Linked DNA regions of Neurospora crassa OR74A. The protein of the gene in region 2 binds, or shares a complex with, the protein of the main gene of each other region. Links are inferred from orthologs where the notes say so. Each region holds a gene or a part of one and is shown on either strand. Other genes may lie near its edges.

Evidence for each region.
Region 1: NCU07831 (region 2) and NCU02813 share a complex: the UniProt entries of both Schizosaccharomyces pombe proteins name them as parts of the eukaryotic translation initiation factor 3 (eIF-3) complex. The link is inferred for Neurospora crassa OR74A from reciprocal best matches to the Schizosaccharomyces pombe genes tif303 and tif313.

What each region holds. Positions count from the first base shown.
Region 1 is NC_026501.1:9,032,997-9,039,113, reverse strand, and holds NCU02813 (eukaryotic translation initiation factor 3 subunit M), read right to left. Parts: upstream 3,432-6,117; 5' UTR 2,976-3,431; coding exon 2,434-2,975; intron 2,362-2,433; coding exon 1,599-2,361; 3' UTR 1,144-1,598; downstream 1-1,143. Other genes in the region: NCU02812 (uridylate kinase), read left to right, coding at 94-773; prd-4 (serine/threonine-protein kinase chk2), read left to right, coding at 5,010-5,054, 5,199-5,775, 5,830-6,117. UniProt on the Schizosaccharomyces pombe protein: Component of the eukaryotic translation initiation factor 3 (eIF-3) complex, which is involved in protein synthesis of a specialized repertoire of mRNAs and, together with other initiation factors, stimulates binding of mRNA and methionyl-tRNAi to the 40S ribosome.
Region 2 is NC_026503.1:1,002,864-1,009,027, reverse strand, and holds NCU07831 (eukaryotic translation initiation factor 3), read left to right. Parts: upstream 1-2,512; 5' UTR 2,513-2,819; coding exon 2,820-3,192; intron 3,193-3,266; coding exon 3,267-4,249; intron 4,250-4,307; coding exon 4,308-5,570; 3' UTR 5,571-6,003; downstream 6,004-6,164. Other genes in the region: NCU07832 (pre-mRNA processing splicing factor 8), read right to left, coding at 1-1,460. UniProt on the Schizosaccharomyces pombe protein: Component of the eukaryotic translation initiation factor 3 (eIF-3) complex, which is involved in protein synthesis of a specialized repertoire of mRNAs and, together with other initiation factors, stimulates binding of mRNA and methionyl-tRNAi to the 40S ribosome.

The DNA.
Region 1 (6,117 bases), on a different chromosome or scaffold from region 2:
CCTCTCTACCTACCTCCCTATTTTACCTACCACCAACATATAAACCGTCCTCAAAACAACAACAAAGCTAACCACCCCCGATCACACACCTAGACATGCCTCCCAACCCCACCTCCTCCTCCTCAGCCGCGGCTGCTCCCGCTCCCGCCACAACCACAACCCCCGCCTTCTCCCCCTCCGACGTAACCGTCATCTTCGTCCTCGGCGGCCCCGGCGCCGGCAAAGGCACCCAATGCGCCCGTCTCGTGCGCGACTACGGCTTCACCCACCTCTCGGCCGGCGACCTACTCCGCGCCGAACAAGACCGCCCGGGTTCCCAATACGGCCAGCTTATCCGGGACTGCATCAAGAACGGCGCCATCGTCCCCATGGAAGTCACCGTGGCCCTTCTCGAGAACGCCATGCGCGACACTCTGGTCTCTGGCAAAACCAAGACAGGCAGGTTCCTGATTGATGGCTTCCCGCGCAAGATGGACCAAGCTGTCAAGTTCGAAGAGGTCGTTTGCCCTGCGAAAATGGTGTTGTTCTATGATTGCCCGGAACAAGAAATGGAGAAGAGACTGCTGGAAAGAGGCAAGACGAGCGGGCGTGAAGATGATAATGCCGAGAGTATCAGGAAGCGGTTCAGGACGTTTGTGGAGACGAGCATGCCGGTTGTGGATCACTATGAGAGGGAAGGAAAGGTGGTCAAGGTGGATTCGACGCCGGGGCCGGAGAAGGTGTATGAGGAGACGAGAAAGCAGCTGAGGAGGGTGTTTGGGGATAAGTTTTAGTTAGTGTAGGGGGGGGGGGGGGATTGACTTGACTTGTCTTACTCCGGGGATGGGATGGGGGGTTGAGGTAAACTTGGTTTCTAGGTACTAATTCTGAGATGGGGTTGGCCGTTCCATTAGATAAAAACTTTTAAAATACTATACACTACTACAGATTTATTGGAAAGGGACGGAGCGATGGAGTCGCGGAGGCGGTTCGTGGATGGATGGGGATGGTTTTCTCCCGTTTGGAAATTGAACTTGCTCTGTCTTTTTCCAGATGTCGAGATGGCTTGGTATTGCGTTTATACTATTCATCGTTGGGAAGCCTGAGCATGATGATTCATTGTTCCCTTTGCTGCTGGTGGTCATAGACCTTGTCTCAAAAAGCATTGATATTACGCTTCCGTTGCCTTGTATATCCTGGGTATCATGATCTATACTCCACCTTTCTGGATTTGCCCTCACGCATCATATCATCCATCACTGATGTATAAATGGAGAGAGAAAACCTGATGATTGCTGGATATCTAAAGCTGCCATTCCTCGGAATGATACAACAACAACAAAAATGCAAATCCGCCAAAAAGTGTAGCAGCTCTACCTTGAAAATAGTGTTCCGTATTTTTTTGGGGCTCACAACTCCTTGATAGATAACAACAACAACCCGTTTTGATGTAGAATTCCTTTCCCATTCGAATGAACTGAACTGAACTGATGACCGAGCGGGATGATACAGGGGCAAGACATCGCTCTTTTTTCTTTTTGAAAGGTCCCCCCATATCTCTATGCTACTAACAACAACAACCAATTATTGCAGCAAAACATCCTGTTGGCAACCCCCCTTCAGTCATCATCATCCGTGCGTTGCCTCGTCTGTCTGGCACCGCCGGTACGTCCTCCCCGGTTGCCGCCGCGCTGCTCCGACTCGCCAAGACCGGCGTTGGCCAGCTTGCGCTCGAGCTCCTGCTGCTCACGCTCACGCTGGGCCTCGACATCGGTCTGGGCCTTGCGCACGACGCCGACGAGCCTATCGACGACCGTCTTGAACTGGTCGACGCGGGTGCCGAGCTCGCGCCACTGCTTCTCGCCAAAGACGCGGTAGGTGGTGCGGTGAACCAAGAACACCTTTTGCTTCTGTGACAGGCGGCCCTCGACCAGCTTGGAGCGGATCACGTCAATGGTCCACATCTCGACGTCCTCGTCGGGGATTTGGAGGGCCTTGGCGATGCTGGCGTAGGGGATCTCGCGGTTCGGGGTGCTGGCGGCGAGCGACGCAAAGGTGAGCAGGCGCATCTTGCGCTGCAGCTTCTCGTGGTCGAGCTTCTCGTTCTCGATCCATCCCTGGTGCTCGTCCCTAAAGTCGTTGTAGTCCTCGAGGTCCTGCTCGGTGAAGATGTCGAGGAGCTGCGAGTAGACGGGGTGCGAGTCGCTCAGGGCGTGGACCGAGGGGAGCGAGCGCAGGTCGTTGAAGTCGAAGCGGGTGGGCGACGAGATGGCCATGCGGAGGGCGCGGAGGGAGAGCTTCTGGGCCTCGTCGGAGGCGACCTCGTCCTGGTTGTCGCGGTCGAAAGTGGCCAGAGCCTTGAGGAGGTAGAAGTAGGACTCCCTGCAGACCAAAGGTTAGCATGAAGCCGTAAAGGTGCACAATGCATGATGCTATAAAAGGTAAAATACTCACTCCTGATCACCGCCGTCGTTGGCGGCATCGGAAACCTCGACGTAGAGCTTGCGCTGGCTCTCCGAGTCGGACTTCCATTCCTGGAGCCAGCCCTCGACGTTCTTTAACCTGGGCTTGAGGAGGTCGAACTGGCTGTTTTGCCTGATGAAGCGGACGATCTGCATAAAGACATTGAAGCGCAGCGGGTTGGACTTGTCGAGGAGGTTGAAGATGGTGGTGAGCGCATTGGAGGCCAGGGTGAAGCCGTGGGTGGGAGACGAGGTGATGGGCTTGAGAAGGTTGGCGCACAGGGTGGGCAGGTACTTCTTGGGCTCCTCGGACTGGAGGACGAGGTGGATGAGGAGGTTGTAGGCGGGGGTGAAGTCCTTCTCGGGGGCGGCGTTGAGGGAGTGGGAGGCCTTGACGATGAGGTCAAGGGCATCCTCGCGCTTGTCCTGCTCGAGGAGAGGCTGGACCTGCTCGCCGACCTGGACGAAGTCGGCCATCTCCTGCGCCAGCTCGGCGAAGGTGCCGTCGACGAAGATCAACTGGGGGGTAGCCATGTTGATGGGTGTTGACGGTGTGTGTGTGTGTGCGTGTGTGGTTGTTTGACGACGGGGCTATCGAACTATTCCCACTTGGACCTCAAGGCTGGAGTGAGGTCGGGTTGAGGCGAGACACACGGCGGGACGGAGTCAGGGACGGACGGGGGACACGGCGACGGGGAAAATATGGCCGGGGACAATCTGATAGTATGTCCTGGTGCTAAAGGTCGACACTGGCCGGAAACGATACGGATATCCTGTCAGACGTGGGAGGGAGGGGCGGGCCCCAAAGGAAGTTTTCTTAGTGGCAGGGCTCCGCTCTTTCTTTTTCTTTGCACAGTTCCTGGGCCTCGACTCGCTGAGTGGTGTGGTGTCCCTCTCTCATCCCATGGACGACAGAGACCTGACCGGACCCTCGACCCAATTTCTCAAAGCAAAAAAATGCCCCGCATTCCAATGCCAAGCCCACCGCCTATTTTTGCCCTGTGCTGAAGAAGAGCTGTTCTGTGTGCTCCAGCCAGTCACGTGCAGGAGCTGTGTCGATGGTCAGGGTTATTGCAGTCATCTGCTTGTGACATAGAAAACCCTGACCCATGGGGTGGTCCGTCCCAGCGAGGTCTTTGACAATGTCAAGCTCCCGGGCTTCAGTCCCTTTTCCTTTGCTTGTCACCGTGCGCTTGACATTGTCCCCAGCTTCTCCAAATCCGATCTTCTTAAAGTCACATTCCCATCCATGATTCTCTTACATGGATATCAACAAACGCACCTGATGAATAATCGAAGGATTCGAACTTGACAAATCCATTATCCAAGTCGAGATTTCTGACCACTCGAACAATATGATTTCCTATATGATGTGATGCACTCGATCGAGGTTCGCAGTTACTTGCCGTGGGCTGTGGAGATATCAACCACGGGAATGACGACACACCTTGATTGGAGTATTCGGCTGCATCAAAACAAAACTATTGAACTCGCTACATCATCGAATATTTTCTTTTCGACTTTTCACCATCGTATCCATCAGGACAAAAATGGGACTCTAGCCAGTTGCAACAGTCACCTTTGTAAGCTAGGTCACCTAAAACACAAACAGAAGCGGGAAGCAAAGAGGGGGTCACGGGGCATCCGAATCGGATATCCAGGCAGACACTTAAAAGTGTGGTGGTGACCCGGGCAACGGCCACCTTCCATTACAGCCTGAGGATATTGTATCAGCTCCTTCCCTTTTCCACTGACGTGATGGGAGTCTCAAAATAACAAATGACCGGCACGCCTGACAGCCCAGAAGGATGGTGAAGAGTCACAATGAACCCACAATAGATTCCCGAGAAAAAGAGTGATGACCAACCAGCCCTACGCTACTATGTATGCAATGCACATGGTGACATTCAACCAGGGCTGAGGGTGTGCACCGCCGAAAGAAAGTCAACAAGTGTACCTAGCGTACAGAGACAGCAACAGTAAACAAAGCCCCGTGGGGGTATAACTCAGATTGTATATACACGTGGATATTTCATAGAGCACTGAATAAAATCAATGTTGTCAACTGGATGCTGTTTCCCTTTCTGTGGATTTGTTGACTTAGACGCGCCAAAAGAGTGGAGTTATGGCGAGGCGCGGCGTGATTTCCAAGCGAAAAAGTGGAAGAAAGTGAGGAAAAGGGAAGCTTCCACTTGGGGCGCGGTCATCAAGGCCTAGGTTGTAAGGTAATGTACACTGTGAGTCCCTGACGTTGTATGGTTGCTTTCTGGTGGAGGCCCCCCCCCCCCCCAATACCTTAGCACTGCCCGCGGCCTATCCCAGTCCCTCGCGAACTGCACAGTAGCATCATTCAGTTCACTCAGTCAGTCATTCTCCCCAGCCCGGCGCCGTCACCACCACCACCACCACCACCCCATCTTTTTCCACTCTACTCTACATACAACCTTCCTGGAACACACCATCCCGCCACTTGATCATTTGAGATCCTCTCTTTTGAATCGAATCCTCAGCTCCGGCATTGACTGACCAACACACCACTCGACTCGTTGCCCTACAATCCCAGCAGCCATGGCTCCCCGAGCTGAAGGCAGCAGCACTCTTAAGAGAGCTCGCGTACGTCCATCCACTCCCCCATCCCATATGTCATGTCATGCTATGTCATGACTACATTATACCTCGAGCTTTTGATTAGGTAGTCCATGGCGCATTGCGTCACCACCAAGCATGCTCCGTCGACTAATATGCGCTTTACTTCAGGGTTCTACCGACGACAACGATTCCTTCAAGAAACCCCGTCGCTCCGAGCGCCTCTCCTCCCAGCGCACCGGCGACAGCCCCGAACCCAAGCAGAAGACGCCCCTCAAGACCACCAAACAATTACCCTCTCCAGTCACCCACGACTCCGATGAATTCCCACAGGATTCCAAAGAGCCCACTGCCACCCCTCCAGCCGGCCGTCCCAGCCAGCTGTCGCAAATCAGCCCTCGCCCAGAAAACCAACATTCTCAGTCGCAAGCGTCCCAGCTCAATGACACTCAAGCCTTTAGCCAGTTGCCCGATCTCGACAAGGCATTGTCGGACGAGGTCGAGGATGAAGTCAAGGAGGGAGTTTGGGGCTACCTGTTTCCCTTGGATCCTAGGTACGGCGGCCGCTGTGTCGTCTTGAGGAGGAGGGCCGCTTGTCCCCTTCCAGATACCGTCTCACAGGCGGTTGGCTCCAAGAGAGGTAAACGCGGCCAGAAGGCGCTGATCAAGGAGGAGCACGATTTGGACAAGACCAAGGTCAAGGGACTTCCATCCGGTGGCTATCTGATCGGCCGACACCCGGAATGCGGTTGGTTCACCTGTACAATCCCAGCTAAACGCCACCATGCTAACATGACATTAGACATCCAAATAGAGGACCCCATCGTTTCGAACCGGCACTGCATCATCTTCACAGAGAACAAGGGCAACGATACCATCGCCGTATTAGAGGATCTGTCGAGTAACGGGACGTTCGTCAACGAGGCAATAGTGGGTCGCAACCGAAGAAGAGAGCTCCAAGAGCTAGATGAGATCGCCGTTCTTGGCACAGCCCGCTTCATCTTCCGATACCCCAAAAGTCGACACACCAGCGCTTTCAGGCAGCAGTACACCATGCTGCAGAAGCTGGGCAAGGGCCATTTCGCCGAGG
Region 2 (6,164 bases):
TTCTGGTACGAGACGCGCACCTTAACGGGCTGCTTCGGCGGGCAGTGCTCCAAGTACCAATGCTTTACGAGAGGTACATCCTGGGCACGAACCGTACGTCCAGAGCGGCGGTCGAAGGGGAACGGCGCCCACCAAAGCTCGATGGCCGATGCCGTCTCATCCGTATACAGCGATTCCTCGGCCATGAAAGACTCGACACCAGCGGGCAGCTCAAACGCATCTTCTTCCGGCTCCTCGATATTGCCAGGTCCAAAGATCTCATCTTCATGGCTGACTGTAAGGTTCTTGGGGGCAACAGCCCGCGAAGAAATCGGGTTGATGCTCGTGTCAAAGTAAAAAGCGGGAAGGTTGTAGTCTTCTGTGCGCGTATAGACAACTTGCGGGTATGAGTGGACTGACAACTGGACGCTTCTCGGAAGTGCATTATAAAGATGGGGGTAAGCTACACGGCACTCTGTTCGGATAGGGTTCCTGAAGATGATGCGATCCATAGCATTGAACTCGCCAAAATCCTCATCATTGGGGTCAATGTCCTTGTAAAGTGGCTCGAAGCGAGGCCCGCCTGGTAAAGCCGCATTCAGGGCCTTTGCTGTGAGGAAACTCTTGAGCTCAAAGAGGTAGTAGTAGTTCTTGTCGACAACCTCAGACACCAACGGTCGGCTTAGACGGTATAAACTCGCCATTTGCGGCAGGGTGAGATTCCACTTCTTGTAACTGGGCCCGTTGACGTGGGGCGTGTCGAGAAGCGGCTTGTGGTCATAGAACCACTCATAGATTGCTGCTTCTTCGTCCTCATCCAACTCCATCTGAATGGGTTCAAGTGGCTCGACGTCCTCGATGTTCTCGGACCAGGACAGGGGCGGTTCTTCGTCGTCGAAAGGTGGAAATCGCATGCGCTTGAATAGCCGGCGGTCGCTCTTTTCCTTGCGCATTACCGTCCACATACTGGCCCACTGTGCAAAGAAGACGGGCTCAATGACTCTCGGGATCTCATTCACAAGGGTCAGACAGCCGTTGACGTGATAGAGAACCTTGACCTCTCTGGCAGCCTCCCAAGGCATGGGCATGTTCTCGAGCAGCTTCAGCACAGCATGGGGCATGAACTTGAGCGCCCCAAGATAGCTGCGCTTGTCACTGGTGTACTTTTTCTGCGAAACATCCCCAATATCCTTGACGATCTTCCGCAAGTGCTCTGGTGGCATGTCGGCCTTTTCCGTCTCAACAAATCCGCCCTTCCTCTTCTCGCCGAAGCGATTTCTCTGCATGCGAAGCCATTCCTTCTTCTTCTGGGCGAACTTGGCAACATGAGGGTCGGTTGGTGGAAAGAACCCAGGCGGCGGCGGTGCTGGGAGGGCAGGAGGAGGTGGGAGAGAGGACGGAGGCGGCGGCGGCGGAGGTGCTGATGGCGGCGGAGGAGCGCCCCAGCCGGGGGGAGGAGGTGGTGGTGGCGGATAGGACATTTTTTCGATTTCTGCTTGATGAAGCTTTGTTGACGTTTATGTGGTTGTTTCGTTGTAATCGTCTTCGTCAGAAGCGTGTACCAGTCGGCGTTGGCGACGAGATGGATAGAAGGCTGGATACCGTGAAGTCGCCTGTCCGCGCGATGGCGGTTTGCAGTCCGCGTGCGTCGTTCCAAGGCCTGTCTCGCTGAGGAAGAGAAAAAAGGACTGGCAAATATTAGATTCCCATTGGTTTTAGATGGAAATGGGCGTAGGTCGACCTCGCACCAAATCGCGGCGATGGTCGATCAAGCTGAGAATGGAGAGGTGGATGTTGTATTCGTGAAAGTGTGGTTTGGTGGCGCCAGGATGCTGGCGTTGACGTTGGCAGGTTGGCCTCGTTACGAAAAACTTGAACAGCCTCGCGACAGCTGCGTGGGCGGTCGATAAAGTTCAGAGGTCAGGGCGGGCGGTCCAGGTCCTGGCGCGCAAAACGGGAAACCTGGCAGCGGGATTCTTCGCTGTGCAGGTGCTTGTTGGCAGCTGCAGCCCGGTAGCGTCCCCGCCACTCCAGTTAGTGAAAGAGGGCCTGGGGTTGGTTGCCTGCAGCGACTGGGCAGGCTGGGCTGTCACTTCTCGACTTCGTGGCGAAACGTCTCCTGTTACGTACTGTAACTTTCGATACGCAATCCCCGTTACGTGGTAGATCTGGCTTGACAAGCTCACAGCACGTCTCAGATGCATGTAACCGAGTATAGTGATACATTATCAGTTCAGGTAGCTGATACATTGAAGGTGGGGCATCAGCTGGCTGGCTGTTTGCGCCCAAGTACCCAGACGACAGGTGTTGAATCTCATAGTGAAGGCCTGACAAAGCAATGCTTGATATTGTTCCCTCGCTCCGCTCGCCAAAGTATACACAAAAACCCGTTCCTCTGACAGATCCCTCATGCGAACATCTGCAAGGTTCAGACCTTATCTTCATCTTCTAGGAATCCCGTCCTGCGATCTCCAAGCGGAAGCAGGTACATTCAGCTCATAAGTTCAGCCTCCCCCCCGCGGAGCAAGTATCCTCTCCCCCCACACCCCTTGCTCGGATTAAGTCATACCCAATCATTACAGCGCTCGAGGCCCAAACAGCTCCGCTCGATTCGCTAAGCCCCAAATCGCCCCCACCAAAACGGCCTTTCAGTGAAAATTAATTCTTTGACCCCTCTGTCCGCCTCGCCGCAGCCGGGTTTTGCTTTGCCAACCATCCGGACCATCACCACTTCCGTCCACCACTCCAAGTACCCATACCGGTAACCCGGACTTCTGCATCGCGCCCATACCCCCGGAACCCGCATATTTATTCCGAGTCTATCGAAAGAGACCGCAACCATGTCTCGTTTCTTCCGCGGCGGTGACGACAGCTCCACCGACAGCAGCTCCGAGGAGGAGGAGGTCTACACTTCGGAGGAGGAGGAGGAGAAGGTTCAGGCCGAGGACGAGTCTTCGTCTGAGGAGGAGTCTGACGAGGAGGAGAGCGACGAGGAGTCCAGCAGCGACGAGGAAGAAGGAACCAAGAAGAAGGGTGCCTCCCGTTTCTTGCAGAGCGACGACGAGTCCGAGGAGGAGGAGGAAGAGCAGAGCGACGATGAAGCCACCACCAAGGTCAAGAGCGCCAAGGACAAGCGCTTCGACGAACTCGAGTCCACCATCAGCCAGATCCAGAACGGCCAGAAGATCAACGACTGGAGTCTTATCGCCAACGGTTCGTATATCTTTCATGCATGCATACACCCTCGATATGTCCTGCACCGATACTTACTCCCCTCCCCGCTTTAGAATTCGACAAGCTCAACCGTCAGGTCGTCAAGCTCCAAGATGGCAGCAAGGCGCCCAAGTCCTACATCAAGGCCATTGCCGATCTTGAGGACTTCATGAACGAGACTCTCGCCAAGCAAAAGGTCACTCCCAAGAAGATGAACGCGACAAATGCCCGTGGTCTCAACGCCGTCAAGCAGCGCATCCGCAAGAACAATAAGGAGTACCAGACCCAGATCGATGCCTACAGGAAGGATGCGGACGCTTTCATGGAGTCGGATGATGAGGTTGCCGCGCCCAAGGTTGTTTCCAAGGTCCGGTTCGAGGCTCCCGTCGTCAGTGCTGAGCAGCAGGAAGAGGACGACAAGGGCTTCTCTACGGTCGATTCGCGCGGCAAGGTTGTTCAGTACACCCCCGAGAGCATCCTCAAGCACCTCCGCGCCATTATCGAGTCTCGCGGCAAGAAGAACACCGACCGCCTCGAGCAGATCAAGGTTATGGAGACCCTCAACAAGGTCGTCCCCATTACCCCTTACCAGAAGATCCGTGTCCTCCAGACCCTTATTTCTGCCCGCTTCGATCTTGGTGCTGGTGGCGCCGCCCAGATGCCTTTGGACCAGTGGAAGGCCGCTGAGCGTGACCTTGCCTCTCTCTTGGAGATCCTCGAGAAGGAGAAGGACCATGTTGTTGTTGAGGGCGCTGAGGAGTGGGATGATGATGACAAGCTCCCCACCATCCCCGAGGGTGAGAAGTACCTCAAGGTTCCCGGCAGCGTTGTCTCGCTCATTGAGCGTCTCGATGACGAGCTCACCCGCTCCCTCCAAGCCATCGATCCTCACACCTCTGAGTACATCGACAGGCTAACCGATGAGGGCTCTCTTTACAACACCATCTTCCGTGGTCTTCTTTACTACGAGCACCTCCGCAAGGATGCTTCCCTCGAGGTTCCCCAGGAGAGCTTGAACCGCATCATCCAGAGGCGTCTGGACCATGTTTACTACAAGGTATGTATAGAGCTAATGCTGGAATACTCAGCCGTCTTTGCTAATCATCTTCTTTCAGCCCGCCCAAGTCGTCAAGATCCTCGAGGAGAACGCGTGGAAGCAGGTTTCTGCTGAGGCCGATTCTGAAATTACCCCCCGCAGCCAATCCGGCGATGCTGGCAAGCTCATCAACATCCTTTCTAACTACCTGTTCGAGAACAGCGAGGGCATCATCCGCGCCCGTGCCATGCTTTGCCAGATCTACTTCTTGGCTCTGCACGATGAGTACTACAAGTCTCGCGACCTGATGCTCACTTCCCATCTTCAGGAGACTATCGCCAACTTCGACATCGCCACCCAGATTCTCTACAACCGCACCCTCGTTCAGGTCGGCCTTTGCGCTTTCCGCAAGGGTCTCGTCTACGACGCCCAGAACACCCTCCAGGAGATCTGCGGCAGTGGCCGTCAAAAGGAGCTTCTTGCTCAGGGCGTCATGATCCAGCGTTACAGCCAGGTCACCCCTGAGCAGGAGCGCCTCGAGAAGCAGCGCCAGCTTCCCTTCCACATGCACATCAACCTCGAGCTCCTTGAGTGCGTCTACCTTACCTGCAGCATGCTCCTCGAGATTCCTCTGCTCGCCCAAACCGGTTCTTCGCCCGATGTCAAGAAGAGGATCATCAGCAAGACCTACCGCCGTATGCTCGAGTACCATGAACGCCAGATCTTTACCGGGCCTCCGGAGAACACCAGGGATCACGTCATGCAGGCCTCCAAGGCCCTTGCTGCTGGTGAGTGGAAGAAGGCCACCGACTTCATTCACAGCATCAAGATCTGGGACTTGATGCCGAACACCGAGGGTATCAAGACCATGCTCGCCAAGCAGATCCAGGAGGAGGGTCTCCGTACCTACCTCTTCACCTATGCTCCTTTCTACGACACTCTCGCCATTGCTACCCTCAGCTCCATGTTTGAGCTCGACTCTCGCAAGGTCTCTGCTGTCGTCAGCAAGATGATCAGCCACGAGGAGCTCGCGGCTGCTCTTGACCAGGTCACCGAGACCGTCATCTTCCGCAAGGGTGTTGAGCTCAGCCGTCTCCAGAGCTTGGCTCTCACTCTCTCCGACAAGGCCAGCTCCCTTATTGAGACCAACGAGCGTACGCTCGAGCAGAAGACACAGGGCTCCGCCAACGCCTTCTCCAGGAAGGACAACCGTGGCGGTGGCCAGCGTGGTGGTGGCCAGCGTGGTGGCAGAGGTGGCGCGAGGACGGGCGGCAACCCTCAACGGCAGGCCGGTGGTACACAGTTCACTGGTGGTGCTCTGGGTAATGCGGTCCGTGGTTAAAGCTCTGTGGAATAGGGAAATTGGTGGTTTTCGTTTTGCTATTGCATTGGGCTTTGGTGTGTGACTAAAAAGCAATTCCCCAGGTCTTCTAATGGTGCTATCCCCTTGAATGTGTTGCCCCATGGTTAGACCCAGCGAAGTTTAGTCTAGAATCATAGGTTCTCTCGGTTTAATTTGTGTTTTTGGTTCGGGCATAGCTTCACTCAAAATTGCGCGTTTGATATTTTCTTCATGATGTGTTAGTTTATCATATGGAAATTGTCTGAACCTGTGTATAATGTACACCATGTCAACCTGAGTATTCTTACAGCCAACCCGAAACGAGTAGTATTTGATGAAAAGGTTTGCTCTATCTCTCGTATGAACAAGACTTAGTTCCACGGCTACTAACTTACGTAGTACCTGTGTATAGGATGAGCCTGTTGGAAAATCGTGATCATTATTCTGGGTGAGCCACACGGGATACATCCAACCGACGTTTGATGAGGCGCTATGATTTGCATTGGGCCGCTTTATCATTACTCTAGGTAAGCTCAAGAGACCGAAATTTCGGGATAATAACAATGTTGAAAGGCTTCATTACCAGACCGAAGT